4 linked regions of the Pelodiscus sinensis genome follow. The protein of the gene in region 4 interacts with the protein of the main gene of each other region in a biochemical or structural test. Links are inferred from orthologs where the notes say so. Each region holds a gene or a part of one and is shown on either strand. Other genes may lie near its edges. The genes, in order: NFKBIA, RIPK1, CYLD and IKBKG.

Evidence for each region.
Region 1: of the proteins of IKBKG (region 4) and NFKBIA, one has a biochemical effect on the other in vitro, tested with the Homo sapiens proteins (15 studies listed by BioGRID and IntAct). The link is inferred for Pelodiscus sinensis from reciprocal best matches to the Homo sapiens genes IKBKG and NFKBIA.
Region 2: the proteins of IKBKG (region 4) and RIPK1 form a complex in vitro, tested with the Homo sapiens proteins (4 studies listed by BioGRID). The link is inferred for Pelodiscus sinensis from reciprocal best matches to the Homo sapiens genes IKBKG and RIPK1.
Region 3: the proteins of IKBKG (region 4) and CYLD form a complex in vitro, tested with the Homo sapiens proteins (3 studies listed by BioGRID, with this or other methods). The link is inferred for Pelodiscus sinensis from reciprocal best matches to the Homo sapiens genes IKBKG and CYLD.

What each region holds. Positions count from the first base shown.
Region 1 is NC_134714.1:48,030,369-48,037,235, reverse strand, and holds the start of NFKBIA (NF-kappa-B inhibitor alpha), read right to left. Parts: upstream 3,013-6,867; 5' UTR 2,871-3,012; coding exon 2,614-2,870; intron 2,075-2,613; coding exon 1,966-2,074; intron 1,496-1,965; coding exon 1,285-1,495; intron 765-1,284; coding exon 676-764; intron 568-675; coding exon 307-567; intron 1-306. UniProt on the Homo sapiens protein: Inhibits the activity of dimeric NF-kappa-B/REL complexes by trapping REL (RELA/p65 and NFKB1/p50) dimers in the cytoplasm by masking their nuclear localization signals.
Region 2 is NC_134712.1:115,469,390-115,477,063, forward strand, and holds the start of RIPK1 (receptor-interacting serine/threonine-protein kinase 1), read right to left. Parts: upstream 3,019-7,674; 5' UTR 2,888-3,018; intron 2,861-2,887; exon of another isoform or gene 2,292-2,860; intron 1-2,291. UniProt on the Homo sapiens protein: Serine-threonine kinase which is a key regulator of TNF-mediated apoptosis, necroptosis and inflammatory pathways.
Region 3 is NC_134722.1:31,411,952-31,419,211, reverse strand, and holds the start of CYLD (ubiquitin carboxyl-terminal hydrolase CYLD), read right to left. Parts: upstream 3,020-7,260; 5' UTR 2,860-3,019; intron 2,576-2,859; exon of another isoform or gene 2,255-2,575; intron 1-2,254. UniProt on the Homo sapiens protein: Deubiquitinase that specifically cleaves 'Lys-63'- and linear 'Met-1'-linked polyubiquitin chains and is involved in NF-kappa-B activation and TNF-alpha-induced necroptosis.
Region 4 is NW_027465910.1:86,350-94,205, forward strand, and holds the start of IKBKG (NF-kappa-B essential modulator), read right to left. Parts: upstream 3,005-7,856; 5' UTR 2,874-3,004; intron 2,850-2,873; exon of another isoform or gene 2,658-2,849; intron 2,335-2,657; 5' UTR 2,325-2,334; coding exon 2,141-2,324; intron 1-2,140. Other genes in the region: G6PD (glucose-6-phosphate 1-dehydrogenase), read left to right, coding at 3,439-3,553, 5,284-5,423. UniProt on the Homo sapiens protein: Regulatory subunit of the IKK core complex which phosphorylates inhibitors of NF-kappa-B thus leading to the dissociation of the inhibitor/NF-kappa-B complex and ultimately the degradation of the inhibitor.

The sequences.
Region 1 (6,867 bases), on a different chromosome or scaffold from region 4:
CCTCCTTGCGCAAGTGGTACACTGGGGTACACCAGCTTACTTTCACCTCTGGCTTTAGGTGTCCAATGCTTAGACCTTATATTGCACTCCTAATGCTTACTAATTTATATTTTTAGTTTATTTTGAGTGTGTAGATGAAATATATCTAATACAGTCAACAGGCCATCCAATATGCCATCAAAACATCAGGAAATAACACCTAAGAATTATGGGCACATTTCTCTGACAATTTTAATAGGAGCATATAGATGCTTATAAGGGCAAAATTTAGTCCTTCCTTATAAAAGGGTGAAAATAATTACTTACTTCATCCTCCATGAATTCTGATTCTGATTCACAGCTCTCCTCATCCTCACTTTCTGGTAGCATTTGTAGGTCAGCCATGGTTAAGTGCTTTAGCTGTTCCTGTATCCTGCAGCTCTCTCTTCCCCATGTCAGCTGGTATGGAGAATAGCCCTGGTAGGTCACTTTGTTCACATCAGCCCCATGTTTTACTAGAAGTGACACCAGTTCTGAATTCTGCAGATCTACAGCTAAGTGCAGGGCAGTTCTGCCATTACAAGGCTCCTGGTAAGTAAAAATAAAACAGGATAGTTAGGCTTGGCACTACAAAAACTGGATATTCCTATTCCAGCATTATCATGTTTGGATAAACAAAGAGCTTCAAATACACACCTGAGCATTGACATCTGCTCCCAAGGACAGCAAATATTCTACTATAGCCAGATACCCTTGAATAGATGCCAAATGGAGACACGTGTGTCCTGTAAAACAAGAACATAGGTACAAATTAAGTACTTCTACTTTAATGCATTATTAGTCACTTTCTAACACCCCTAACACACTATCATATTTTGAGTTTGAAATACAATCACCATTATCTAAACTGAATGTAAAATGTTCTACATGAACTTTTAAATTTCTCTAATCATCGTTGTACTGTGTCTAAGGCACCGTTATTTTTTAAACGCAGTGCCTTTTTTCCACCCAGTGGTACACCGGAACTTGTTTTAACAAAGTAGAAACAGAAACATGTAAAATGTCTACAATTTTAAAAAAATATCTAAACAGTGTTATCTAAAAATCAAAGTGTAAAGTTGAAGAGTGTGAAAACCAGAGTTAAGCACTTGCAGTCAAGGGAGCTGAGACTTATTCCGAGCTCCAGCACTGACTGCAGTGTGATTTCAGGGAAATCATTTTACAGCTAGGCCTCAGCCTCCCATCTTCATAAAACTCTGAAATTCATGTCACAAAAACACTAGCTGCTAAGAATTTCATGCATACCATTGTAGTTAGCTGACTGCAGGACTGAACATAGGTGGTGCTGCTGGCAGTATTGAGTAAGGACGCTGACAGCTCTGAGAGACCCCTGGTCACAGGCAATATGAAGTGGTGTGTTTCCTCGGAAATCTCTGATTTCTGGATCACAACCGGCCTTGAGAAGAGACTCAGCAATTTCAGCCTGCTCTGTGATTACTGCCAGGTGAAGTGGTGTCTATAATAAAAAAAGAAAACAAACTAGTATAAGGTACATGACAAACAGGAAATGTTAGAGACAGCAACTGAGTATATAACCCTTCAACCACTTGGTGATTCTAGCAGCTCTAGCTCGACTTCTTCAGTTCTCTTTTAATTTGGAAGTGACTGATTTAAAGCTCCCTTGACCGCAGAGGGCCAGTACAAATTAAGGGTGTATTTTTCATGGAAATAATGGATGAGTAGAACCCACTACAGCTTATCTAAAAGCAATCCATCGTTTCAAATGCCAGTGTCGTTTCAAATGTTGATTGTACACAAACAGAAGTTTATCTGTGGACAATGGCAATCTTGTGTCTTGGAGGGAGAGGGGCTCAGCTGATTAAATATCAACCGAATGTACAATTTTGCATGACACAGTTACTGAAATCACCAAGGGCGTCAGGCAACCTGGCTCGTTTAAGCAAGAAGGCAGATGGCTTAAAATACCTGGTTCAGGTTATTCTGAAAGTTCAGGAAGGCAGGATCACCAGCTGCCTGCCGAATGACTTCCACGCTCAAGGCCTTTTCTTCGTGAATAATTGCCAAGTGGAGAAATCTGCAAGAGGGGGGAAAAAAGAAACAACCCCTCAAAGTCGGTCCGGGAACGATGAGCCAGGGGAGGACGTGAGCTCACGGGATCAGCAGGCCAGCCCCGGGCAATGCCCCGGCAGTCACGTGCACAGGCTGCAGGCGGCTTTCGCAAGCCTGGGGTTTTCAGAGGCCGCGGCCTGGTGTTTTCCGCGGGGTTGTTATGAGCTGTGTTCCTGGCGGCGCGCCAGGGACTTTCCACCGCACCTTCCCCCTCCGCCCAGCCGGGCGCCGCGCCGGCCCCGCCCCGCCCCGCCAGCACACTCTGTACATCCCCTCCCGGCACGGCTGGCGGGCGGCCAGCGCTGGACTCCGCAGCCCTACGGCGCCTGGCGCTGCCCGCAGCGCCCCCCCGCCCCCCAGCAGGGCTCAGCTAGGTTCTGAGTAGAACCCACTATCGCTTATCTAAAAGCAATCGTCGTTTCAAATGCGCCCGCCCGCGGCCCCCGGGTCTCGCAGCGCCCCGCGCGGGGGTCTCCGTGCAGCCGGCGCAGGACACACACTTACGTGTCTCCCTCTTCGGTCACTTGCTGTTGCCAAGGCTGGGCCGGCGCGTGCGGCGCCCCCCGCTCCTCCTGGGGCTGGAGCCGGATGTCCCGCAGCTCCTTCACCAGCAGCGCGTACTCCTCCTCCTTCATGGAGTCCAGCCCGCTGTCGTGCCGGTCGTCCTGCAGCAAGCCGAGCTGCCGCTCCTTCTTCAGTGGCTCGCGGCTCTCCATCGCCAGCTCCCGCTGGCCATCCGCAATGCAGCTGGGGTGCAACATGGCTGGGCCGCCGCTAGCACAGGACGGGCAGGCGCAGCAATAGGTCCCCCCCTGTGGATCTTTCACCAAGCGGCTCCGGGCGTCAGAGTGAGAGCGGCGGCGCGCGGTGGCGCTGGATATACGCCCTCTGCTGAGGGGATTTCTGCGAGGGGGAGGAGCCGCTGGCTGGGAATTTCCAGGCCAGTCAAACAGCAAGAACTAGCCTGCGCCTGGCTGCGGGAGGCGTTACATAAAAGCCCAGGCGAGACTCGCAGCGAAGGAATCCCCATGACTGACCCGCCCCTCTTCGCTTTCCCCCACCCCCTTTTTCACAAGAGGGAAAGTACTTGGTACAGCTCTGTGACTAACCCCCTTCCCCAGGTACTTCCCTGCCGTGCCCCTGGAGTTGGCTTTTTCCCATCCTGGGGTTTCCCTTCCCCTGGTCTCCCTGGGACTCTGTACTCACAGGTTCTCCAAGGCTAAAACGGCACCACAGGGGAGATGCCAATGCCGTCACTCCTGCCACTGCCTGCCTGAGAGGCACACAAGCAGTGTCCCCCCTACTACCACTTGGAGTCATGAAGATGCCACTTTTTTGTGCAAAGACCAGGGTTGTCTTGGCCACATCACAGCTCCTGTGCTGCTTCTCTAAAAGCCCCTGGGGTTGCAGCTGGATGCTGTATTCCCACAGTGTCCCGCTGTGCTGTATTTCACACCAGCCCCCCATCTGTCAGTTTGCTAATTTTGTAATACCCTGTGGTGCAAGGCACTATTTAAATGTAAGAACTAGCATTGGTAGTCAATAGCAGCCACACTAAATACATCTTAAACCTCAGATGAGTTTGGAACTAACAACCTTTTAACTATTCAGAAGCCCCAATTTCCATAAATGTAGCCTCATAAAACGACTACTTTTAAGAGTAAAGCTTGCTCTGCATAGGGCTTTCTCCTGCTTCCATTGAAGTCAATGGTAAATCTCCCATTAACTTCTCCTGTGTAGGATCAAGCACATACAGCAGGTTTCCCTTCCCACTCCAACTGAGACAGTACCTATCAAAGATTAATTCACTTTTTTCCCCCTTCCCAAAATTTACATATTTAAGTTAACATTTTTTCTTCTCACCAGAAAAAGTTTCTCTTTTTGCCAATGGCATGCTGTTTATTGTTACCCATTATCTAGATATCCCTCTCTGATAATTCCTATTGGGTATGATGACATTCACTGATAAAGATCAAGTGAAATATTGAAAGCACCTAGATTGATTAAAAATACATCTAGGCCATCCTGTGGATTCTGCACGCTAACCTGGGGACTGGGATTCCTGCTGAATTTTACTTTTTCTTCTCAGACATTGGGGGATTTCCCATGAAGAATTTTTTTCCTGCAACCACACTGAGTAATAATGTCTGAGAAATTTTCTTGTCTTCCTCTTCTGGCAATGTAGCCATTGAGAGAAAAAAAGTTATGAGAAAATCCAAAGACAGAGGCAAAGGAGAAAGAGGGCAGATGGTCCAATTTTTTTCAGGCCAGCTGCAATATTTCTGGACTTTCTTATAAAAAGAAATAGGAATCATTGCTTGGAAAAACACAGTTGTGCCCTTTGAAAGAATTCATAAAAGCTCCACAATTATTTTTTTGAAAATTTCAGGGTCATGAAATTTTCATGCATTTTCCCCTTTTTGGTTAAAACATTTTCTTTCTAAGTGAAGTGTAATTTAACTAATCCATACCTTTCTCATTAACTGGAAGCCTATGCTGTACGAACAGTAAAGATTTTATTTATTGTTTGATTGATTGGTGGATACAGTTCTTGCCCTTGATACTGTGGCAATCAGAGGAATAAAATATCATAAGAATTCTGCAACAAATGCTTTATTGGGGCCAAATTGAAATTAAACTTTAAATCGGTGGGCTCTCCAATGCCTTCCATGCATTCAATGCTTGCAGTTGTCAGCAGTAAACACTGAGGATACGTCTACACAGCAGAGCTAAAGTCAAATCAAGCTATTCAACTTCAGCTACATCAATTGCATAGCTTAAGTCGAAATAGCATAACTTGACTCGAGGTGCTGTCTACACCTCAGGAAATCAAAGGAGGAACATTCTTCCTTTGACTTCCCTTACTTCTCATGAAATGAGGGTTACCATGAGTCAGAGTAAGAAGTCCTCCAGCTCGACATTATTTTGAAATAAAGGCTAGTAGTGTAGACGTGCACTGTGTTATTTCAGAAAAACATCAGTTATTCCAAAATAATGCTGCTGTGTGGACATAACCTGAGTTACTTTTAAAAATTACTCTCCCAACAGAAAGACTTTTTACAATGCACCAGCGTTTAGATTTACTCGCTATACGTTTCTGTTAGTGTAGTCAAAGTTAAAAAAATGTGGGTAGCACTGCAGCAAAAGGATGGAAGGTCACACCAGGGCCAACCCACTTCTTAACCAATGGGAATGCAAGTGCCAAGCTTTCACGGCCATTTCATTCCCTGAAAAACATACTCTTCAGCAAGCAGCAGTTTAGGTTTTGTAGACTATAGTACCTTAGGAGCACAGCATCACATTACTTAATCATAAAGACAAATCATATGAAGTCAGATGCTTTGATCTCCCCAAAACAGAGTAGCTTCTCTGATAACTTGATTCATTTGTCTCAGTGGTTTGACTGCTGTTACCCAAACTGCCTCTAGTTTTGATAGTAATCCTCAAGACTAGTGTCTGCCAAGTGAAGGTGGGTATGTTTACAGTGACCTCTACTGGGCCTTTATGGCATATTATTGCTCAGACCTAGATAAGGTTTGTTATGGCAGAGGAGAGAGGAATATGCAGTACATTATATAGTGATAGGGATCCACCATGGTCTTGCAGTTATATGGGAAGCTACCCAGGTAGTTGAAATATGGGAAACTTATTTCTTGAGGAGCAGGAAGTGCTCTAACTTGTACATCTACAGGATATATGGACCAGACAAGATGGTTGAAACATCAGTTACATTTTGCTACTAGTTTATGATTAAAAATTAAATGTATATGTAAACATTTATATCCTACACACTTTTTATATTATATCCTGACACAGATGCCAGGTCAGTCTTGATAAAACTCCCAGACAAAAGTCATTAGGAGCTAAGGTTATAAAAAAAGCATTTTTAAGGAGAAAATCAACCCTCAAGAATAGCAAAATTTTAAAACAACTAGACACTGGAAAATTATTTTATAGCCTGTTCATATAGGTCCATTCCAGCCCTCAGCACAGTCAGTGAAAAGATTCCCCCTTGACTTCAGTGGGAATTGTATGACTGAGTCCACACAATATTGTACATTTATTGAAGTTAGATTTGTTTATACTGAAAGAAATTGCAATGATTATTATTTATTCATTTATTATTGTAGCATTTCATCACAGACTCAGATCTCATTGTGCTAGGTGTGTACAAACATAGAACATAAAGATAGTCCCAGCCCCAAAGAATTTACAGTGAAAGTAAATGAAAAAAGACACAGGCAGATAGCGACATACAGTTGGACCTATATTTATAACTAGCCAATTAGCCCGTCATAAGACGGGATTTTCAGGTCTCTCCTCCACGTCGATCTTCTCTCCTGAGCCTCCAGTCTCCCTCTCTCTCTGTCTCTCTCCCCTCCTCCTGCCTCTCTCTCTGTCTCTCTCTTTCACTTCTTCTCCCCCTCCCGCCTCTCACTCGGTGGACCGCAAAGCCCAAATGGCCGTTTGGGCTACTTGCTCCCCATGCTGCATGGGGTGTGCGGAGCCCAAACAGTCGCTTGCGCTGCTTGCTCCCATGCGGTGGCCTGGCTGAGCAGTGCAGAAGTCAGCTGAGCACCACAGCGGGAGGCGAAAGGGGGTGGGGTGGTGACGTTCACGGCCAGAGGGCAGGGCCTGGAACCGCTGTCACACTGCACGTCCCTGCCCCGCTCCCCCTTCACCTCCCACCATGGCACTTGGTTGACTTCTGCGCCGCTTAGCTGGGCTGCTGCGGGGGAGCAAGTGGCGCAAGCGGCC
Region 2 (7,674 bases), on a different chromosome or scaffold from region 4:
AGCGAGGACTGAGCCAAGTTGCTAGCCAGCCTGCTAAAAATTTACTGGCAAAGAGGGGGAGGTGAAATGCGTGTAGTCTATAGCATTAACCTATAAACTTTTGCTTATTGGTTGATCGACTACATTATTACATCCTTAGGACAGATGTAGACAAATTGAAAAATGTGCAAAGAGCAACAACAAGTATTAAAAGTCAAGAAAACGTGGCCTATGAGGGCAGATTGAAATAAATGTGTTTGTTTAGTCAGGAAAAGACTGAGAGGAGACATACGTTTTCAAGTACAGTACCTAAAAGTTACAAGGAAGAGGGAGAAAAATTATTCTTCTTAACCTCTAATGATAGGACAAGAAGCAAGGGGCTTGAATTGCAGGAAGGGAGATTTAGGCGAGATGTTAGGGAAAAGTTTCTGGCGCTAGGAAAAAATGTAAACCCTAGGGATGTAAGAATTTAACCAGTTAAACTCCCAGCCAATTGATTACACAATTAGTGGGTTTGATTTTTTTTTAATTTTTACATCCCAATTAAGCACTGGAATAAATTGCCTAGGGAGGGTGTGGAATCTCCATCATTGGAGACTTTTAAGAGCAGGTCAGATAAACACCTGTCAGATGGTGCTTGGAGATGCCATAAATTCAAGAGACTTGACTTGATGACCTCTTGAGGTCCCTTCCAGTCCTATGATTATGTGACCATGGGTGCAGTTTTTATGGGGGGGTCACCCCTCCCCCAACAGAGGTGGCACAAAGGGTTACCTGCCACTGCCACCCTATTTCTGCAAATGGGGAGCTAGGACCCAGCTGAAGGAGACAGCATCTGGCCTCTGCTGAGTGTCTGCAGCAAAACACCATATTTTGGGTCCTAGTACCACACATGCTCCCCTTCTCTGTGTCAAGAGCTTTCCTGTTTCTGTGCAACAGGGAGTGCCCATGGAGGGGCTGGGTTTGGAAGCGTGGAAGAAATGAGAAAAGGCGGGATTAGACAGGGTGGGAAGAGGCAGTGGGTAAGGAAGGGGGTAGAATAGGGCAGGGGGAGGGAAATGTGGGAACAAAGGGCAGAAGATGAATAAGTAAAGGGAATAGGGAATTATGGGGGGAAGTACGAGCCTGGTATGCAGTGTCCCCCTCAGCAGCTGTTGTCCTCCTCCCATTAAGCAGGCACATTGAACCTTCATCCTGTCACACCCTTACCACAAGAAGTAATGTTGCGTAACTAAGATTATTTTCTCATTAGCCTTGTTCCTTGTTTTACCATTCAGAAGTTGTCCCCCTCTCACAGTCTGAACTCTACTGAACTCCCCCCTCCCCCCCCCCCACGCCCTCAGATGACACCTACAAAGTCCTCAGAGAGACTCTGACTGGTGCTATGGTCAGTTTTCTATTAGGATGAAGTTGGGATGTAAAATCCCATTTAATAGGTTAAACAATGAAAGGGGGAGGAGGGAGGCTCCACAGCACTGTCACTGCGTTCTGCCCCTGTCCTTCAGGAGAGTAACCATCTTTTTAGGCTTTGGATGTCACTACATCATTAGCACCTTGCACCCATTTCGATGAACGCGGGCCCCCTCTTTTTTTTTATTATCAAAACTGAGGTGGGTGTGCACATAACAAGTACCACAAGAGTGGAGGGCAGGAGGTGAAAATTCTCACTACTCCCCCTTTGGGCATGGGAACGGGGTATGGAAATCCCCCCCCCCCTGCTCTCCCGACCCCTGAGGATGAGCAGCAGTGGGGGCTCCCCACCTCGGGCTGCGGGTGGGACAGTGGGAGGAGAGGAGATAAAAGCCCCTCTCCCGCCTTGTGGAGCCACAGGGATCGTCCCGCAAGGAAGCAGAGGAGGAGGCAGCCCAATGGAGGAAATCCACGCGTCACTGCCCGCTGTAAGGACAGGTAGCAAAGGTAGCAAGTCCTGAGCAGTAGCACCGCATTTCATGTATGCATGACAGAAACCGCAACGATCGCAACAACGGAGAGTTTCAGAGTTGCACTTTCTGTCGTCGCCCCGGCAACTCCCAAATCGCATTGCACCGTCACTAGCGCAGAACGCCCCTGCCCTGTCCCGGGACATGGGGACTCACCACGCGCACACGCCTTTCCCTGCACAGCAGCCCAGGGCGGAGCCCTTCCCGGGCCAGGTAACTGTCTTAAAGAGACCGGGTCCTCGCCTACAACCCCGCTTCCCACGGATCGCATCCAGCCCGGGAAAGTCCGGTGTTAAAGCGTGAGACACAGCGCGCAGGAGGGGAGCGGCGGGGTGTGTGTGTGTGTGTGTGTGTGTGGGGGGGGTGTTCTACCTTAGTCCTTCAGCTGGGAGTTGCTGGGTCGGTGTGTTAAAGCCCGCAGCACACCACACCAAAGAAAGCGCATGAATCAAGGGCTCAGGATACAACAGTGTCTGACACATACAGGAGCCCGCTGTGTGTTTGCAAGAGCGAAAGTTTATGTGACCATTAGGAAAGCTAGTTACCGTATGCTAGGGGGGCAGAAATGCACCGGGAACTGGAGCAGGAAGAGGAAACACGGAAGGCTCGTTCCACCATTAGAATTTGCTAAGAGATTGCAAAAAATCCGGCCTTTACAACATGGTGCTGAAACTGAAACTAACTCTCACCCTCCGGCAATAATAAGGGAAGTTTTAGTGGAAAACGACAATCGAAGAGTCCTACGTTCCCCCTTCTCTCCAACGTCAGGTCCCCAAAAGGCCTTGATCTTAATATAATGAAATATTGCACAGCGTGTCTATTCAAACGCGAAGGAAAAATAAAAGGACCCGAGTTCCAGGCAGGCCTACGTGCAGCTCCTGTGAACTTTTTTAAAAGAAAACTAAAGCAAACAAGCGGAAACATCGCTAGTCTCTTCTTAAAGGCGCAAAGAATGGAAGTGCCCTTACCTGTCACTTCACAAAGCTCCGGCCCCGGCCCCAGGAAGCTCCAGCCACTATAGTCTGGCTTCAGTTCTTTTACTAACTCTAAAGTTGGGTTGGTTCTTCTCTCGGGCCCGCCTCCACCTTGCTGTGGGAGGAGTCATGAAAAACTAGCTCCTGTACAAACTCATGGAAAGCAGTACTACTTTTAGCTTCAAAGCTAGCTTCACAAGTTTGGCCCTGGTTTACAAACTGAGTAGCCACATTGAAGTCAGTGTGTGACGCTGTATGGAATTTGGGGGACAGGAGGATATTATGAAATCTGTAGAACAGTGTTTCCCAATTTTATTTGGCCACGGAACCCTTTTAAACGCCAAAGAATTTAGCGGAACCCTTAATAACAGCAACTTGTTTGACAGCTGAAGTTTCGATTTTGTCCAACGCAGCGCTAGTATATTCGTATTCAGTCACCCACGTGATCCATGCTCCCTGAGAGTGAGTACGGGGATTTACGGTGGTATATAACAGGCGAGTGCACCACTGACTGGCAGCACAGCGCTGAGTAGTGATATCATCGTCCCCACTCTCCGGCTAAGCTGGCATTATACAGAGACACTTATCATGGCAAACACAAATGAAAATTGTTTTAAATGAAATTCATAAATGCTTAAATATATATTTTTTTAAAAAAAAATCATAAAATGTTATTGTAATGGAATTGTCTTGCGGAACCCTTGTTTTCACTTCGCGGAACCCCAGGGTTCTGTGGAGCACCATTTGGAAATACTGCTGTAGAATGATAATCAAATATGCCACCCATGCCATGTAAAGTATCTGCAAAATTGTTACAATCTACCAAAGCTGATAATCTCAGTTATATGTTTGTATCACCTATGTTTTTTGGGTTATAGATATGTGTGTGTCTGTATTACAAACTTGTGCTAATCTGCTGGGGGATGCTCATAGGTGGGTATGCACTGCTTAGCCTGCTTGATTTCCCACCAAAGAACACCAGCTATTCAACTGACCCATTGAGAGAAGGCAGGAGATACACCTGATGCCTCAGCAAGGCATGTCAGGGCATGTCTATGGACAGAACTCTAAAGGGTATGTCTACACTACCAAGTTGTGTCAACAAAACTGATGTCGATAGCCAAAGGTAGACAAAACAAAAATCTCCAGAGGGTGTTCACACTTGCTCTCATGTCTGCACTGGGGGCACCATCATTGACAGTATGAGCAGTGCAGTGTGGGTACAAAACATATCCCACAGTTGTGTGAAGGCAGAGCTGATTCCTGTGCATTTTGGGATTCCCCCTAAGTTCTCCCGCAGCCTCTTCAGCTGCCAAAGAACAACATCATGAGCAGCTTTTTGAGCTCTCCAAGCTAAGGAACGTCAAAGCAGCACAGCAGCCTGTCCCCCCTCACACCTGCAGTAGTAGTCTGTCTACCATTATTAACTGTGGTTCATAACCTAACCTTTAAATTAGCTTCCGTACCTAATGACTGGACTATAGCTAATGTGACACCAGTATTTAAAAAGGGCTCTAGAGGTGATCCTGGCAATTACAGATTGGTAATTCTAATGTCTATACCGTGCAAATAAATTGAAACTATAGTAAAGAATAAAATTGTCAAACACATAGATGAACATAATTTGTTGGGGGAAATGTCAACATGGTTTCTGTAAAGAGAAATAATGTCTTACTAATCTACTAGAGTACTCTGAGGGGGTCAACAGAAATGTGGACAAGGGGGATCCAATGACTATAGTTTACTTAGATTTCCAGAAAGCTTTTGATAAGGTCCCTCACCAAAGGTTCTTAAATACAGGTGGCCCCCGATTTGCAATGCGCTTGGTTCCCGGAGAAGCGTAGCAAGTCAGGGGCATCGTAACTTGAACCCTCATTTATGATAGGCACCGTGCGCCATCATAAATGTGGGACGAGGACGTAAGTTGGGGGTTTTCGACCCCTTCCTCACTTACAAAAATGGTTGTAAGTGTGGGAGACCGTAACTCAGGCAGTTGGAAGTCGGGGGTTTCCTGTAAAGTTAGTTGTCATGGGAGAAGAGAGACAGTCCTCTCATGGATTGATAACTGGTTAAAAGACAAGAAACAAAGAGTAGGAATAAATGGTAAGTTTTCCTAATGGAGAGAGGTAACTAGTGATGTTCCCCCAAGGGTCTGTATGGGGACCAATCCCATTCAATCTATTTATAAATGATCTGGAGAAAGGGGTAAACAGTGTGGTGGCAAAATTTGCAAACAATACTAAACTGCTCAAAATAGTTAAGACCAGAGCAGACTGTGAAGAGCTTCAAAAAGATCTCCCCAAACTAAGTTATAGGGTAACAAAATGGCAAATTAAATTTAATGTTGATAAGTGTAAAGTAATGCACATTGGAAAAAATAATCACAACTATACATACAATATGATGGGGACTAATTTAGCTATCACTACTCAAGAGATATCTTGGAATCATTGTGGCTAGTTCTCTAAAAACATCCACTCAATATGCAGCGGCAGTCAAGAAAGGAAACAGAATGTTAGGAATAGTTTAAAAAGGAATAGAGAAGAAGACCGAGAAGATTTTATTGCCTCTGTTTAAATCCATGATACGCCCACATCTTGAATACTGTGTACAGATGTGGTCGTCTCATCTCAAAAAAGATATATTGGCATTGAAAAAGGTTCAGAAAAGGACAACAAAAGAAAAAAGAGGTTTGGAGTGGGTACTATATGAAGAGAGATTAAAAAAGACTGGGACTTTTCAGCTTAGAAAAGAGGAGACTAAGGGGAGATATGATAGAGGTGTATAAAATCGTGATTGATGCGGAAGAAGTTAATAGGGAAAAATTATTTACTTGTTCCCATAATATAAGAACTAGAGGTCACCAAATGAAATGAATAGGTATCAGGTTTAAAACAAACAAAAGGAAGTTCTTCTTCATGCAGTGAACAGTCAACCTGTGGAAATCTCTGCCAGAGGATGTTCTGAATCATAGAATCATAGGACTGGAAGGGACCTCGAGAGGTCATCGAGTCCAGCTCCCCGCCTTCAAGGCAGGACCAAGCTCTGTCTACACCATCCCTGACAGATGTCTATCTAACCTGTTCTTAAATATCTCCAGAGAGGGAGATTCCACCACCTACCTTGGCAATTTATTCCAATATTTGACCACCCTGACAGTTAGGAATTTTTTCCTAATGTCCAATCTAAACCTCCCTTGCTGCACTTTAAGCCCATTACTCCTTGTCCTGTTCTCAGAAACCAAGAGGAACAAATTTTCTCCTTCCTCCTTGTGACACCCTTTTAGATATTTGAAAACCGCTATCATGTCCCCCTTAATCTTCTTTTTTCCAAACTAAACAAGCCCAGTTCATGAAGCCTGGCTTCGTAGGTCATGTTCTCTAGACCTTTAATCATTCTTGTCACTCTTCTCTGTACCCTTTCCAATTTCTCCACATCTTTCTTGAAATGTGGCGCCCAGAACTGGACACAGTACTCCAGCTGAGGCCTAACTAGTGTAGAGTAGAGCGGCAGAATGACTTCACGAGCTTTGCTTACAACACACCTGTTGATACAACCTAGAATCATATTTGCTTTTTTTGCAGCAGCATCACACTGTTGACTCATATTCAACTTGTGGTCCACTATGACCCCTAGATCCCTTTCCGCCATGCTCCTTCCTAGACAGTTGCTTCCCATCTTGTATGTATGGAACTGATTGTTCCTTCCTAAGTGGAGCACTTTGCATTTCTCTTTATTAAACTCTATCCTGTTTACCTCTGACCATTTCTCTAACTTGCTAAGGTCATTTTGAATTATGTCCCTATCCTCCAAAGAAGTTGCAACCCCACCCAGTTTGGTATCATATGCAAACTTAATAAGCGTACTCTCTATCCCAATATCTACATCATTGATGAAGATATTGAACAGTACGGGTCCCAAAACAGACCCTTGCGGAACTCCACTTGTTATCACTTTCCAGCAGAATTTAGCACCGTTAACAACAACTCTCTGACTACGGTTATCCAGCCAATTATGCACCCACCTTATCGTGGCCCTATCTAAGTTATATTTGCCTAGTTTATCAATAAGAATATCATGCGAGACCGTATCAAATGCCTTACTAAAGTCTAGGTATATGACATCCACCACTTCTCCCTTATCCACAAGGCTCGTTATCCTATCAAAGAAAGCTATCAGATTAGTTTGGCATGACTTGTTCTTCACAAACCCATGCTGGCTATTCCCTATCACTTTATTACCTTCCAAGTGTTTGCATATGATTTCCTTAATTACCTGCTCCATTATCTTCCCTGGGACAGACATTAAACTGACCGGTCTGTAGTTTCCTGGGTTGTTCTTATTCCCCTTTTTATAGATGGGCACAATATTTGCCCTTTTCCAGTCTTCTGGAATCTCCCCCGTCTTCCATGATTTTTCAAAGATCATAGCTAAAGGCTCAGATACCTCCTCTATCAGCTCTTTGAGTATTCTAGGTTGCATTTCATCAGGCCCTGGTGACTTGCAGGCATCTAACTTTTCTAAGTGATTTTTAACTTGTTCTTTGTGTATCCTATCTTCTAAACTTACCCTCTCTCTGCTTGTATTCACTATGTTAGGCACACCTCCAGACTTCTCGGTGAAGACCGAAACAAAGAAGTCATTGAGCATCTCCGCCATTTCCAAGTTTCCTGTTACTGCTTCTCCCTCCTCACTAAGCAGTGGGCCTACCCTGTCCTTGGTCTTCCTCTTGCTTCTAATGTATTTATAAAAGGTCTTCTTGTTTCCCTTTATGCCTGTAG
Region 3 (7,260 bases), on a different chromosome or scaffold from region 4:
AAGTGACTGAAACTTTGTAAGTGGGACTTATTGTGGCTCAAATGTGCAGTTTCACCCACGAACCGGTCCAGTTAGAAGTTTTCCTATATCTCCCCACCCCTTTCTTCCCTGGAGTCACTCACATATACTGTTACAGAGAATCATCTCACTTGAATAAAAAATTTGTTCTGAAATTTGAGAATTTTGTTTCTGCTTTAGCATTACTTGGGCTAAGAAATGTGATTTGTATCTCCTATCACCATGAACATACTCAAATTATTGCCCTGTCTCAAACTACAGAACAAGTGGGGAAAACTGGATGAACCTGATTCAGATTGTCTCTTGTAGATTCCTCACTTCAAATACCATGTTTTTAATAACTCCATGTACAGAACCACCATGACAGTCAAACAGCCTGAAAAATACGTTTAAGCGCAAGAAGCTATATCCGTTGATTAGACAAAGTAGCGTCCAAAGAAGTCAATAGCTGCACATTTGCAATGCTGAATGAAATAAAAATATGCCTTTTAAAAGAATGCTTAGCATTGCTAAGAGAAATCTTAAAAACAGACCAATAAATTATACATTTTAAAATTTATTTTTACTGTTTGGATTTTGCTACTTAACTTTAATACTGTAAAATATGAAATACATATTTTTCAGTTTTCAAAAAGAATGTTTAGATAAAAATGTGTTTAAAAGAGAAAACACTACACTATAGTTGTTTGATATATTAGGTACATGGACTTGATTTGGGGATGACATTTGTGTATCAGTGTGGCATTTATCTCCAATTCAGCAGGGCTGTGCACAGAGTTCATGTTTTGAAATAAAAGACGAAAACAGTTTTAATGTTCTTGATTATGACTTAATATATTTCTTTATTCTTGTTAAAGTTTGTTTCCTGAGTAGCATAAAATATACTTAAACATTTCCTCTTTTAAATGCTTACTTTTTTTAAACACCGATTTTCATTTTCGATTAACCTACCCTTTTTTCTTAAACATTTGTACACATGAAAATACTGTTTAAACTTTTAACTAGATAGCACTAGCACATTTACCCAGTGTTGCTTGGGTCATTAAGGAGGGGCTCAGGACAGGGGGCCGAGGGTTCAGGACTCAGAGTTGGGGGTACTAGAGGCAGGGGGTATGGAGGTGCAGGAGTCAGAGTTGGAAGATAAGAAGGGACTCAGGAAAGGGGAAGCAAGGGTGCAGGAGGTTGGCCAGCTCACCAGCACAGGAACCTTATCTGTCTATCGTGGCCAGCAACATCAAGAATCCTGCCCTCGGCCAGCCACTCTCTTATCAGTGGACCTGCCCTCCTGTGGTCATTCCGCAGCATAACTGAGCCTATAGCAGACTTGTCCCTTTGTGTTTTATGAGAACCCATAGTATTTCAGGCAAATCCCATTGTTCTGGCACAACCAAACCCTTACCTTGCTTTGAAATTATGATAAGAAGCAGCATCTGCATACCATATTTGCTGGTCCTAGCTTTTACATTTAGGATGACTTGAACCCACTCAGACAGACTCTCTCAATTTTGTATATATAATAGAGGAATGGTGGCCAGGATCATTACAGTAAACCTGTGAGCCGAACTGACCAAAATCAGTGCCCTTCTACACAGCACTTATTTCAGTGGGCAACTGAGAAAAAGCACAGATCATTATAGTGCTAAATCCTAATCCTACAAACAGATCTGAGAGTGTGAGCCTCTTACCCAACTGACTTCAAATAACGTTCTGCAGGAGTTACCAGAGCCAACTGTAGGATCAGGGCCTAACGGAGATAGCCTACCTCCAAGATACATGTTGGTTGGCATGATTTTCCGCAAATGCTTTTAACGGAAAAGTTTTTCCCGTTAAAAGCATTTGCGGAAAAGAGCGTCTAGATTGGCACGGACACTTTTCCGCAAAAGCACTTTTTGCGGAAAAGCGTCCATGCCAATCTAGACGCGGTTTTGCACAAGAAAGCCCCGATCACCATCGGGGCGTTTTTGCGCAAAACAGTTTTTAGCTGTCTACACTGGCCCTCTTGCACAAAAACATTTCCAGAAAAGGGCTTTTGCCCAGGAATGTCAAAGCATTTGCGCAAGAAGCACTGATTTCAAACAGTAGAAGGTCAGTGCTTTTGCGCAAAATCAAGCGGCCAGTGTAGACAGCTGGCAAGGTTTTGCACAAAAGCGGCCGCTTTTCCAGAAAAACTTGCCAGTCCAGATGCAGCCGTTGGGTTTATTTAAAATAATCATAACGAAAAGAAGCCAAATCTCACCTTGCTGCTCTGTAGCCAGTGTCTAAGCCTTTGGGCCAGCGCAGTCTAAGCACAGAGGGGCTGCCTTACACACCCGGGAGGGAAACGGGGACACCGACAGCGCTCGGCACGTACCCTGCCCTCATCTACCGGCAGCCCTCCGAGCGCTGTCCCACGGGCGGGGAGGGGGGGCTTTTACCGCCGCACGTGCAGAGATTTAAAGGGATTTGCAAGCGAAGCAACGTGGGGAGCAGGGAGACAGCGCAAGGAAAGCGGGTCCGGCTCCGCCACAAGTTCGCGTGGAGCCGCGGGCAAGCTAACGCTGCCCCCCCCCCCCCCCCTTGTTACAAGGACCAGGCGGTCGGACAAGCTCGCCCGGGACAGGCTCGCCGGCTGCGCTCCCACCGGCCGGGGGGGGGGGGGAGCGTTTATAACCCGCCGGCAAAGCAGCTCCCGAGCCTGAGCCTGGAAAAAGGCCGCTGCCGCCGCCCATAGCGGCACCGTTAGGTGTCAGCAGCCACCCCCCACCCTGCCGCTGCTGCCGCCTCAGAGGAGGGGGGCGGGGGGAGAGGGCAGCGGGAGGCAGCCCCGAAGCGCAGAGCGACCGCTCCGGGCCCATCACTCACCTCATCCTCCGCCCCGCGAGCCACCTCGCTGCTACCGCCCAGGCCGCCCCTCCCGACAGCCCCGGAGCCGCTGGCGCGGGGACTTTCCCAGCCACCTGACACCCTCACGGGACTCCTCAAGAGCGAGGCAACCCGCGTAACCCACCCCCTCAGAGCCGGCCCGGCCCGTAAAACCTACCCTGCTAGACCCATAGCACCGCCCTCAGCCTTCTGCCGGAACCAACCACAAGGCCCCGAGCCGGCCACTCTCCCTCCTATTGGGCAAACACACACATGTTCAGCAACCCTGCCGCTACGAGGGGATTTCCACTCCATCAGGCTTGCCAGAGCCGCAGATGAAGGCGGGGACAGACGTGAGGGAGGAATCGATCAGCTAGGATTGATTGGCCAAGCCCTTTAGGCCCGCGATGAAGATTGGCTACCGAGACGAGGTGGGAGGGGAGAGAGGAGGAGCGGAGGAATGCTTGGGTTTGATTGGTGAAATCATCCGAGTCTAGCGATTGGTAGAATTTAACCAGGTGTGGGGTAAGGCAACTTGATTGGCTGGATCCTTCAGTAACCGGCTGACAGCAGCGGGGAGCGAAGGCGGCGGTCAGGAGCCGGCTAAGGGAGCAGAGTCAGCAGTGGCTGGAGCGCATAAGAAGGGCCATACAGAGTCAGGCCACCAGTCGCTAATGGAAACTCACCGTTAATTACATAATTACATCCAAGCCATTTTGCTAGTGCTGCAGCTGGGGACATTGGTTCATTGTAAATTATTACACAGACTAAGCACTTTAACTGTCTCATAGTCATAGAGAGGTAGCCCTGTTAGTCTGATCTTGCTAAAACAAAAGGAAAAACTACGTAGCACTTCAAAAACTAAAAAGATGGTTTAATAGATGATGAGTTTTTGTGGGCCAGACCCACTTCCTCAGATCATATTCTGGAAGAGAACTGGCATAGCCATATATATACCAAAGGACTACAATGAAAAAAGTGAACATGTTATTAAACTGACAAATCAAATTTAGTGCGGAAGGTGGGGTAAGGGAGAGGGAGGCTGTTTTGATCTCGAATTTTTTTTAAATGCAACATATTTTGAAGCTTTTTTAATTTCTAGTTTCTGCACTTACTTAATGAAAGCAGAGATTTTTACTAAATCACAGGAACCTGAGGATTAAAGAGAAATATGAAATATTGCAAGATCTGTGATAAAATTGCTCCATATTTATTAGAGATGTTAAATATTAGTTAATTGACTAATCAAAAGCGGAGAGGAGTCCTGTGGCACCTTATAGACTAACTCCATGGTCCCCAACACGGTGCCATTTGTGTGCGCCCACCAAGTGCTCAGGGCTGGCCTGGCCCCGGGCACATGGTGCATGCACAGTGCCGGAGCTGGCCCGGGCGCATGGTAAGCGCCAACCCCGGGAGCGCCGCGAATTGGCTGCTCGCACCTCGGGCATGCGGCGCTTGCGGGGGGGGGGGCGCCGGGCGCGCGGCGCTTGCAGGGGAGGGGCGCCGGCCCCGGGCGCGCAGCGCTTGCAGGGGGGGGCGCCGGCCCCGGGCGTGCAGCATTTGGAGGGGGTGCCGGCCTGTGGCGCACGGCGCTTAGGAGGAGCGCCAGCCCCGGGAGCACGCAGCTATGGGGGGGCCGGCATGCATGTTTCCCCTCCCTCTGGCACCCGGCAGGCGAACGGCCACGCCCCCTGGCACCTGGCAGCCTCTAAAGGTTGGGGACCACTGGACTAGCAAGTGTTGGAGCATAAGCTTTCGTGGGCAAAGACCCACTTCGTCAGATGCATGCAGTACGTGCATCTGACAAAGTGGGTCTTTGACCATGAAAGCTTATGCTCCAACACTTCAGTTAGTCTATAAGGTCCCACAGGAATCCTCGCCGCTTTTGCAGATTCAGACTAACATGGCTACCCCTCTGATACTTGACTAATCAAGTAGCCTATGGAATTTCCATCAACTACTCAATTAGGGTATGTCTAGACTACATGCCTCTGTCACAGGAGGCATGCAGTCTAGACGTACCCATAGCCGATAACAGGGGGAGTGGTCCCACTCCAGCTCTGAACTTTAATGGTAGTAAGAGCCTACTTCTGTGCAGTGCAGAGTCACCACTCCCAGGAGCTAACCCTATGGTGAGTTACCCCAAGGTAGCTCCTGTGGGCGGTGCAAGCCTGGACTGAACAGTCCCAGCTCACACTGCCCTCTAGGATGCTGCAGCTCTGCATTTTAAATGTAGTAAGAGCCCAGCAAAGTGCAGAGCTGCAGCAGGGTTAGTTCTCTGGGTGGTGGGAGCTGGGACTGAATAGTTGCTCTGCTACCCCTGGCTCCCATGCACCATGTAGATGGTGCTGAGGGGCAGCCAGCTTTCAAGCTGTCTTCCCCCACCACCGGCTCCTGTTTCCCCGCCCCTTGCTGCATCTAATACAGATGCAGCAAGGAGTGGGGGAAAGCAAGCAGTCACTCGACTACCCGATAAGGATAGTCAACTACTCGACTAGTCGCTTACATCCCTAATATTTACCATTGCCACTCCCTTAGACATGCAGTGAGACATAGCAGTACAGGTAACCTGCAGTGACCTGTGCTATACAAGTACATACACTCCCTTTTGATGTATCATGATCTGACATATCTGTCCATATATGATCCATTAGATATGGAATAGCCCATATTCAGTCTCCCTCAGATCTGCGTTTACTCAACATGCCCAAAGCCTGTCGTCCCACACCTTAGACATGTCATACACTTCTGTGCAGTGCAGATATACCCCCATATGCAGACAAGCACTCACTGTTAGATGTGCAAATACCCAGTTTGATTACCACACACCTTCCTATGTGAAAGCATCCAGTTCCACATAAAAGAAAGGGTACATGCAAATCTAAACGTATTTCCTGATACGCATGCATGCTGGTGCATCAAACATTCATTTGCCTCATTTGCATATTCACAGAGTAGAGAGACTGCATTTATTCAAATAGGGGCTAGTACACATTTTGATGAAAAATGTTCACTTAATACATGTTGATAGAAAAACAGTTTAACTAAATTTCCTTCCTTAATTAACTAGGCAATATATTGCAAAGCAGAAAATGTCTGTTGCTACATCAGTTGTAAGTAGTAGGAAAAAACTACAGATGTATTGTTAAATCATTCATTATCTTTGTGAAAAGTTGAATCAATATTATATGTTGGATTACCTGCAGTCAGCATAAATTGCGATTTAAAGGCCTTAACCAAAGATCAATGAAATCATTGGAAAGACACCTCCATTGAATTTGGTGTGCTTTGCATTGGGCCCTGACAAAGTATTTTGGCACGATAACTCTTTAATTACACAGCATATGTGTGGTCAATACATTATGTGGAACGTGTATATTAACTAAATAAGTCCATATGATACTGGCAATATTTTCTGCTGGTAAGTAAATTACAAGAACTCCTGCATCAGTTAGCACATTTGCTACTTCAAAGACATACAGTACTTTTCAAAAGAAAATTCTTGTGCAGAATTTTCAGAGCTTTATACCAAAAGGTTTTCCAGTCAAAATTTCTCCATGTTAAGACTAGCTAAGTGCATGTTTTCAATTAACCATTAATGTTTCCTTTAGAAATCAGTGCCGGTCATTCAGTCATTACAATAAGGCTATTATAAACCTATTTAATACAAATATGCAATTTAACTTTTCCCCTACTATAGCGTTGGCAGTCACTCAGAACTCATAGGATAATTAATTTAAATAATGCATCAGGGAATACTCAGTAGTGAAGACTTTGTGATAAAGTTACTTACATATATCTTTGTGTGAACACTGAACATGTGAACATTCAGTTGCCTCTAATCTTTAATACCCAGTTTAAAAATGAGTCAGATTCTTAGGAAAGTGCAAAGTAGTATTATAAAATAAGATTAACATATACATGCATGTATTAAAATCCAGATTTAGCAACTGCTAAAAATGCACGATTCATACTTTTATACATACTAGACTGTTACTAACTGGTGATTTAAATAATTGTTTTCCTTTAAATCATGGAGAGACAAACCCGCAGTCCTATCTCTTCCACCTGAAGTCCTGCAAGCCACTCCCCCAGCAGGAGGCAGGTGGCCCCAGCCTTCTCCCATCAGCACAGGGAGGGAGGGCGGACAAAACCCATGGCCCAAGCCTTCCCCAGAGCATAGGACAGGCAGGTGGCCTCTGAGCCCAAGAGGGCAAGCAGCTCCCCTGACCTTGGAACATAGATGGTTCCCACCGCAAGCCTACCTGGCCGCAGGAGGATTGGTGGCACAGCTTCAGCCTTGCAGGGGTAGCCACAGGGCTGAAGCCCAAGTAGGCCCAAGAGACTGGGGGGCCCATAATGAATGGGGGTGCTGAGGGCAGAATGTAGCCTGATTCAGCT
Region 4 (7,856 bases):
CCCCGCCTCCCTCTGGGAGCAAGGAGTAAGTTTGGTATGGGGCAGAGAAAGATCTGGGCAGGGCTAATCTGAAACGGCTCCTGAAAGCAGCAGCCCATTCCTCCTCCAGCTCTGCCCCCACAGCTCCCAGGGCACAGGACCCACAGCCAATAGGAGCTGGAGCTTGTGGTGGGGAGGTGTGTGGAGACCCACAGCAGGGCAAGCCCTTGAAAGCCAGAGGAAAAGGTCAAAGGGGCAGGATGCAGCCTAAAATTTGCCCATCCCTGTTCTAGACCATCCTTGCAGGCATTTGTCTGACATGCTCCACAACGTCTCTGGGCAATTGATTACAGTGCCACTCTGACCGTTTTCCCTCATGTCCAACCTAACCCTGCCGATCTGCAGTTTAAGCACATTGGTTCTTGTCCCAGACGCAGAGGCCAATTCTCCCCTCCTCCTTGCAACAGCCTGTCATGTCCCCTCTATCTCCTCTACAAAGTAAACAAGCCCAGGGTCAGCCTTCCCTCAACAGGCTGGATCCCGGCTGCTGCTCTGCACCATCTCCAATGTCGCCATATCTTTCCCGAAATGGGGTCTTTTTGACAAGACTCCTGGATGGCATTGCAAATACCCTGGCCCACAGCGCCCACTCAAGGGGCCAAGCCTCCCACACGAGTCTCGCTGGGCTGGATTCCCTGCAGGGAGCCATGAAGAGGGACTGTGGTGACTGGCACCTGCAGGCCCAGCCTCGGAGGCCAGAGGCCTCCCCTGCAATGGTGCTTGGGCCCAGTCCCAGGCAAAAGGCAACTTCCCAAGAAAGAGGTGCAGGCTAGGTCATAGACCGGACTCTGAACCTGTCAGCTGCCTCCCCCTGCCCCCCCCCCCCCCCCGAGCATGACCAGCAGGGAGCAGCACCTACTTTCCCATACACACACACACACAGGGAGCAGCCACAGCCCCTGCTCCTCCCCCCCCCCACACACACGGAGCAGCCACAGCCCCCGCTCCTTCCCCCCCCCACACACACGGAGCAGCCACAGCCCCCGCTCCCCCCCCCACACACACAGCAGTTCCAGTGCCCACTTCCCACCACCCACACACACACACACACACACACACACACACACACTAGCTCCAGCGCCCACTCCCCGCCATAAAAACACAGGAAGCAGTTCCAGCACCCACCCTCATACACACACAGGGAGCAACCACAGTGCCCCACCTCCCTACACACAGCACAGCTCCAGCACCCACTCCCCCCATACACACACAGAGGAGCTGCCCCACTCCCCCCCCAATGCGCACACAGGGAGCAACAGCAGCGCCTCACCCCATACAAACACAGAGAGCAACTGTAGCACCCCACCTCTCCCCATCCACACACACACACACACACACACACACACACGGAGCAACAGCAGCGCCTCACCCCATACAAACACAGAGAGCAACTGTAGCACCCCACCCCTCCCTATACACACACACACACACACACACACACACACAGGGAGCAACTGCAGCACACCCACCCCCATACACACAAACACACAGGGTGCAGATAACAGCTGTAGCACAGCACTCCCCCTCCACAGGGAACAGGGGGGACGGATAACTCAGTGGTTTGAGCATTGGCCTGCTAAACCCACCGTTGTGAGTTCAATCCTTGAAGGGGCCATTTAGGGTTGGAATGTGGGAGGTGGCTCTAGGCTGATGCAGGGGGTTGGGGTGTGGGAGAGAGCACAGGCTCTGGGGCTGGGACCCAGGGGTTCAGAGAGCAGGAGGGGAATCAGGGCTGGGGTGGAGTGGGGCTCAGGGTAAAGATTTACAAGCAGCTCCCAGAAGCAGTGGCAAGTCCCTCCTGTGGCTCCTATGCTGAGGTGCTGGCAGGAGGTTTGCGCTGCACCCACAGCCCCCACTGACTGAGGATCCTGGCCAAAAGGAGCTGCAGGGTTGACGCTTGGGGTGGGCGCAGCATATGGAGCCTCCTGACTGCCTGGAGGTGCTTCCTGGGAGGCTGCCCGAGCCCCACTGGACCCACGACTGGGCAGTATGGCTTGGTCAGCCAAGCAACATGCTGCAGCCCAGGTCCAGGTTGCAGGGAACTGGGCCCCAGCCACCCCTTTCAGTGCTGTACCAGTCCAGGGTACTCATTCATCCTCACCTTTCAGATCCTGGTTTTCCAGCAGGAAGCGCTGCAGGGCCTCATGCCCGGCCAGCTCAGGGGGTAGTTGCCAAGCCGCCACCTTGCCAAGGGATGAGTCCTCACCAAGAGCACTGCAGTCACTGCCTGGGCACCCGCCTGGCTGCACCATCTCACAACTCCGCCGTTGCCGGGTCCCGTTCATCCAGTCTAGCCTGTGAAGAGACATGGCACTATGAGACCTGGGAAACGGAGGGTCCCTGGGCTGGGGAAGGGGGGGGACTGATGCCCTGTCACGAACTGGTGCATCTGAACTTCACCAGCTAAAGTGACCCTACTCAGTTTGGTCTTGAAGGGAACAGAAAAGTGACAAAGCAGAGGATTGTATTCCCCTTGTAAGAGTGCACGTGAGTTCTACCATCCTGTGGTAACCCTGTGTGTGTGTGCCTCAGTTTCCCTGGGCTCTGCACCAATCCCTGGATGGGGATTTCAGGGTGACAACCTCCCTCATGTACACACTGGCTGTGATCCTTCGTACCCCGAGCCGGCACGGGGAGGGCATGGCACCTTTAGCCTGGAAAGCAGGGCAAAGGCCGGAGGAGGAGCTAGGACCAGGCTGCTGCGTGGGTTCGGGGGTTGGGAGGGGGCGGGGCCCTGGCCTGGGCTGTCCTGGCTGATCCTGGTGCCGGTGCTCCCACCGGCTGAGCCCTACGCCTGGCGGGCGGGGGCGGGGGCGGGGCCGGAAATCCCCAACCTCGGCGACAGGAGAACTCGGACGCCTGGATCGCGGTTCGGATACTCGTCGCCCCCGGCTGCCACTTCCCTTTTCCGGGATCGCGGCCTTGTCTCCCCCGGAAGTGCTTCCCCGGGACCCGGAAGCGGAAGAGACGTTCGTAGCCTAGAATGGCGGGGATTGGCCTGGGCAGGGATGGGGAGCCGGGCGGGGATTGGCAGGGGCGGGGATAGGGAGCCGGGCGGGGATTGGCCTGGGCAGGGATGGGGAGCCGGGCGGGGATAGGGAGCCGGCGGGGATTGGCAGGGGAGGGGCGGGGATGGGGAGCCGGCGGGGATTGGCAGGGGAGGGGCGGGGATGGGGAGCCGGCGGGGATTGGCAGGGGCGGGGAGGGGCGGGGATGGGGAGCCGGCGGGGATTGGCAGGGGCGGGGAGGGGCGGGGATTGGCAGGGGCGGGGCGGGGATGGGGAGCCGGGCGGGGATTGGCAGGGGCGGGGCGGGGATGGGGAGCCGGGCGGGGATTGGCAGGGGCGGGGCGGGGATGGGGAGCCGGGCGGGGATTGGCAGGGGCGGGGCGGGGCGGGGATGGGGAGCCGGGCGGGGATTGGCAGGGGCGGGGCGGGGATGGGGAGCCGGGCGAGCGTTGGGCCGCCGGCGGAGCGCGATCCAGACGTGGGGAGCGGTGGGGGAGCGCGGAGCGGTGAGGGCCGGGCTCGGGTAGGGGGCATGGTGTTGGGGGGCTGAGCTGGGGGGCCGGGCTCGGGTAGGGGGCATGGTGTTGGGGGGCTGAGCCGGGGGGCACTGGGGGGCCGGGCTCGGGTAGGGGGCATGGTGTTGGGGGGCTGAGCCGGGGGGCACTGGGGGGCCGGCCTCGGGTAGGGGGCACGGTGTTGGGGGGCTGAGCCGGGGGGTACTGGGGGGCCGGGCTCGGGTAGGGGGCACGGTGTTGGGGGGCTGTGCCGGGGGGCACTGGGGGGCTGGGCTCGGGTAGGGGGCACGGTGTTGGGGGGCTGAGCCGGGGGGCACTGGGGGGCCGGGCTCGGGTAGGGGGCACGGTGTTGGGGGGCTGAGCCGGGGGGCACTGGGGGGCTGGGCTCGGGTAGGGGGCACGGTGTTGGGGGGCTGAGCCGGGGGGCACTGGGGGGCCGGGCTCGGGTAGGGGGCACGGTGTTGGGGGGCTGAGCCGGGGGGCACTGGGGGGCCGGGCTCGGGTAGGGGGCACGGTGTTGGGGGGCTGAGCCGGGGGGCACTGGGGGGCCGGGCTCGGGTTGGGGGCACGGTGTTGGGGGGCTGTGCCGGGGGGCACTGGGGGGCTGGGCTCGGGTAGGGGGCACGGTGTTGGGGGGCTGAGCCGGGGGGCACTGGGGGGCCGGGCTCGGGTTGGGGGCACGGTGTTGGGGGGCTGTGCCGGGGGGCACTGGGGGGCTGGGCTCGGGTAGGGGGCACGGTGTTGGGGGGCTGTGCCGGGGGGCACTGGGGGGCCGGGCTCGGGTAGGGGGCACGGTGTTGGGGGGCTGTGCCGGGGGGAACTGGGGGGCCGGGCTCGGGAAGGGGGCACGGTGTTGGGGGGCTGTGCCGGGGGGCACTGGGGGGCCGGGCTCGGGTAGGGGGCATGGTGTTGGGGGGCTGTGCCGGGGGGAACTGGGGGGCCGTGCTCGGGTAGGGGGCATGGTGTTGGGGGTCTGAGCCGGGGGGCACTGGGGGTCTGAACCGGGGGGCACTGGGGGGCCGGGCTCGAGTAGGGGGCATGGTGTTGGGGGGCTGTGCCGGGGGGCACTAGGGGGCCGGGCTCGGGTAGGGGGCACGGTGTTGGGGGGCTGTGCCGGGGGGCACTGGGGGGCCGGGCTCGGGTAGGGGGCACGGTGTTGGGGGGCTGAGCTGGGGGACCGGGCTCGGGTAGGGGACATGGTGTTGGGGGGCTGAGCTGGGGGGCCGGGCTCGGGTAGGGGGCATGGTGTTGGGGGGCTGTGCCGGGGAGCCGGGGGGCACTGGGGGGCCGGGCTCGGGTAGGGGGCATGGTGTTGGGGGGCCGGGCTCGGGTAGGGGGCATGGTGTTGGGGGGCTGTGCTGGGCGGTTGGGGGACCCCGGGGGGCTGTGCTGGGGGCATTGGGGGGCTGTCCTGGGGGAGGGGCCCCTGGGGGGAAAAAGCCAGACTGCTCAGGGCCTCATGGGACCCAGAAGTGACAAACCTCCAACCCCCTGGTCCCACCCGGGGCTTCTCTTCACCCCCACCTGCTGCCGCCCCATTTTCCCCCATCCTCGCTCAGGGCCACTCTTCCCCCACAATCCCATTTCCCTTCCCCCACCATGGGGCTCTGCCCTGCTGTTGGCCAAGCAGAGACTTGTCCCTGGCTGCCTGGGGCTGGGGAGGGAGCCCAGCCTGGGTCAGCCCTCTGAGGCAGGCGGTTCACATGGTCTCTCTGCTCTAGGGAGCAGCCGTGCCAGCACCATGGCCTTTCCACAGGAGCTGAGTCGCTCACAGGTGTGCGGGATGATGCGGGAAGAGCTGTGCCAGGACCAGGACTTCTTGCGGTCTGACACCCACATCTTCATCATCCTCGGGGCCTCGGTGAGTCCCCAGTCAGCCAGGCCATGCCCCATGTGGGGTGCCTGAGCTGGGCCGTTCCTCTTGCACCCTGCTTTGTGGACAGGCAATGCTGTGGGGGAACAGGGAGTTCCCTGCAGGACCCTGCACTTGGTGAGGGGATGGCTAAACTAATCTTCCCCACAGCTCTGCTCAGCTGCCAGATTCCCCTGAGCTCCTGCCTCCCGTGGGCTCTGCGGCTCATGCCTCCAGGGCGAGGCAGGAGTTGTACCAGGGGCGATACTGAGCACTGGGAGCTGCAGCCGAGCCATCCCAGCTACCATGACTGGGCAGAGTGACTTAACTTCCTGCCTGGTGTTGTGTAACCTGGGCGGGCAGCACTTGCCTCCAGTGGGGGCGGGGGGCCACTAATCCCTGATGGGTTGAGCTATGTGCCCTGTCATGGGGCCACCCAAGGCCTGGGATGGTGCTGGTGCTTGCCATGGGATGGAGTGAGGTCAAGCCCTGGCTTGGCCAACCCTTCGTTTATATTCCGTGAGCAGTAGTGAGATTTCAGCAAGCAGAGGTGTGTGATTGACACCGTCTTGTTGCTCCCAAATCCACCCACTACTCTGAATTTGCCCTGACACCCCAGAAGCCTCCCAAACTGCCTCTCACCATAGTCATCCCTTAGGCCCTGGAAACCACCCCGGTGCCCCTCAAACTCACAGAAACTGCCTCAGTTCCCTCCCCAGAACTTCAGCATAACCCTTTTCTACCCTGCTTCCGGTTGCCTGCCTGCTCTGAGGGGTCGCAACATGTCCCTCCCGTTGTGGGATCTGTTGCATTTGGACAAAGGGAAGTGCTGGGCACTGCTGAGCAGCTGTGCCCATGGGGAACCACAAGATAAGCAACGTGGGGGTGGTCAGAGGAGACCACGGCTGCTGGAGCCACTCCCATGCTGGGGGTGGCTGGGCAGTGTCCTTGTGGTGGGGGTGGCATGTGGAAGCCCCCTGCTCACCCTAGCTCCCTGTAGCTGAGGAGAGTAATACACACAAACACACCTTTGCTAGCTTCGCTCACCCACCCTGAGACATCTACTTCAATGTGCTTGTGTCTCAGGCCAAAGACTCCCCCACTTGGCCCCGGGTTCCCCAGGCAGGCGGCCAGCAGAGTAGGCAGCAAGAGGCGGAGAAGCCCTGATTTTGCTTGAGTTGCTGCCGCTGTCTGCACGCCCCACAGGTGCATTACTGCTGGTCTCAATTTCTGGGGCTTTGGTTCCCACTCTCTCCACCTTTCTCCACAGCACAGGAACCCATCTCCCCTTGACATGCTGGTCTGATGCAGCCTTCTGAGGCTTTCTGTGCATTTTCCTCCAGCCTGGGAGTAACTTTTCTGGCTCCTTTCTCCTCTCCATCCTTTCCACTTTTCTCCCAGCCTTTATGAAAGGCAGCTACCCAAGTTGGGTGCAATTCCCCATCTCTCATGATGTTTGGTTGGGTGGCACAGCTCCCTCCCTGTTCTGCTCCTGGCTGCCCTGGTGATACACCCCACAAGCCTCTTTGGCCCCATCCCAGGTCTAGGATGCCACTAAGTCCCCTAGAGCCTTCTTAGAGTCCCCGGCTCTCTGGAGCACAGCCCCAGGCAGTTGGTGTTCCTTGCTCCTAGCAGTCCCCCACACATCTCCTGGCAGGGCCAGACACCCCAGGCACTCCCCCAACCCTGCCTGCAACAGAGCAGGAGAGTGGGGAAACTGAGGCACAGCGATTCAGTGGCTAGGCTCAGGTCACACAGGGCGACTGACCCCAGAAGCCAGCTCCCTGTTTAAATATAGGGGTTGTCCCAGCTCCACGTGACTTGGGTTCACCTCAAGTTGGCAGAGCTGAGGCAGAGAATCCTGGGTAGGCACTGGGCCCTGTGAGCTGTGATGGGAGCTGCTGCGGTCTCTCTGCAGGCCTGTCAGGGACAGCACAGGCTGGATGCCTGGCACCTGCTCCCCCTCCCCCAGCAGAGGGAGGGAGGAAGGAGAAAGCCGCTTATCAGCGTTTGTGATAGATAAGGAGCTTCCTGGGCTTAGGCAGAAGGCCAGTGGCCTGGACCTGGCTGTGGGAGGCAGGGCAAAGAGCTGAGGAGAAGATGGCGTATCCCTTTGGGCCAGGGAGTGGCAAACACAAATGTCCCTGTATCTGTGGGCATGGCTCATTTTCCCTGCTCAGCCATTCCCTGGCCTGCAGCAGACTGTGTGGTGTGTCCCCAGGCTGGTATGGGCTTGTTGGGCAGTTCCCCCCCCTTACCATGCAGCGTGGGGCTGGCACATCCCTGTAGTGTGTGTCGTATCCCTGGGCTGGTTTGAGCTCGCTGGTTTGAGCCCTTGCTGTGAGGGGGTGGCGGTATCCCTGGGGTATCCCTTGGCCTGCTTCTTGCACTAGGACCCGCCTTGCTGTGGGAGCTGAGCCTCTGTGACTCAGCAAATCCCTA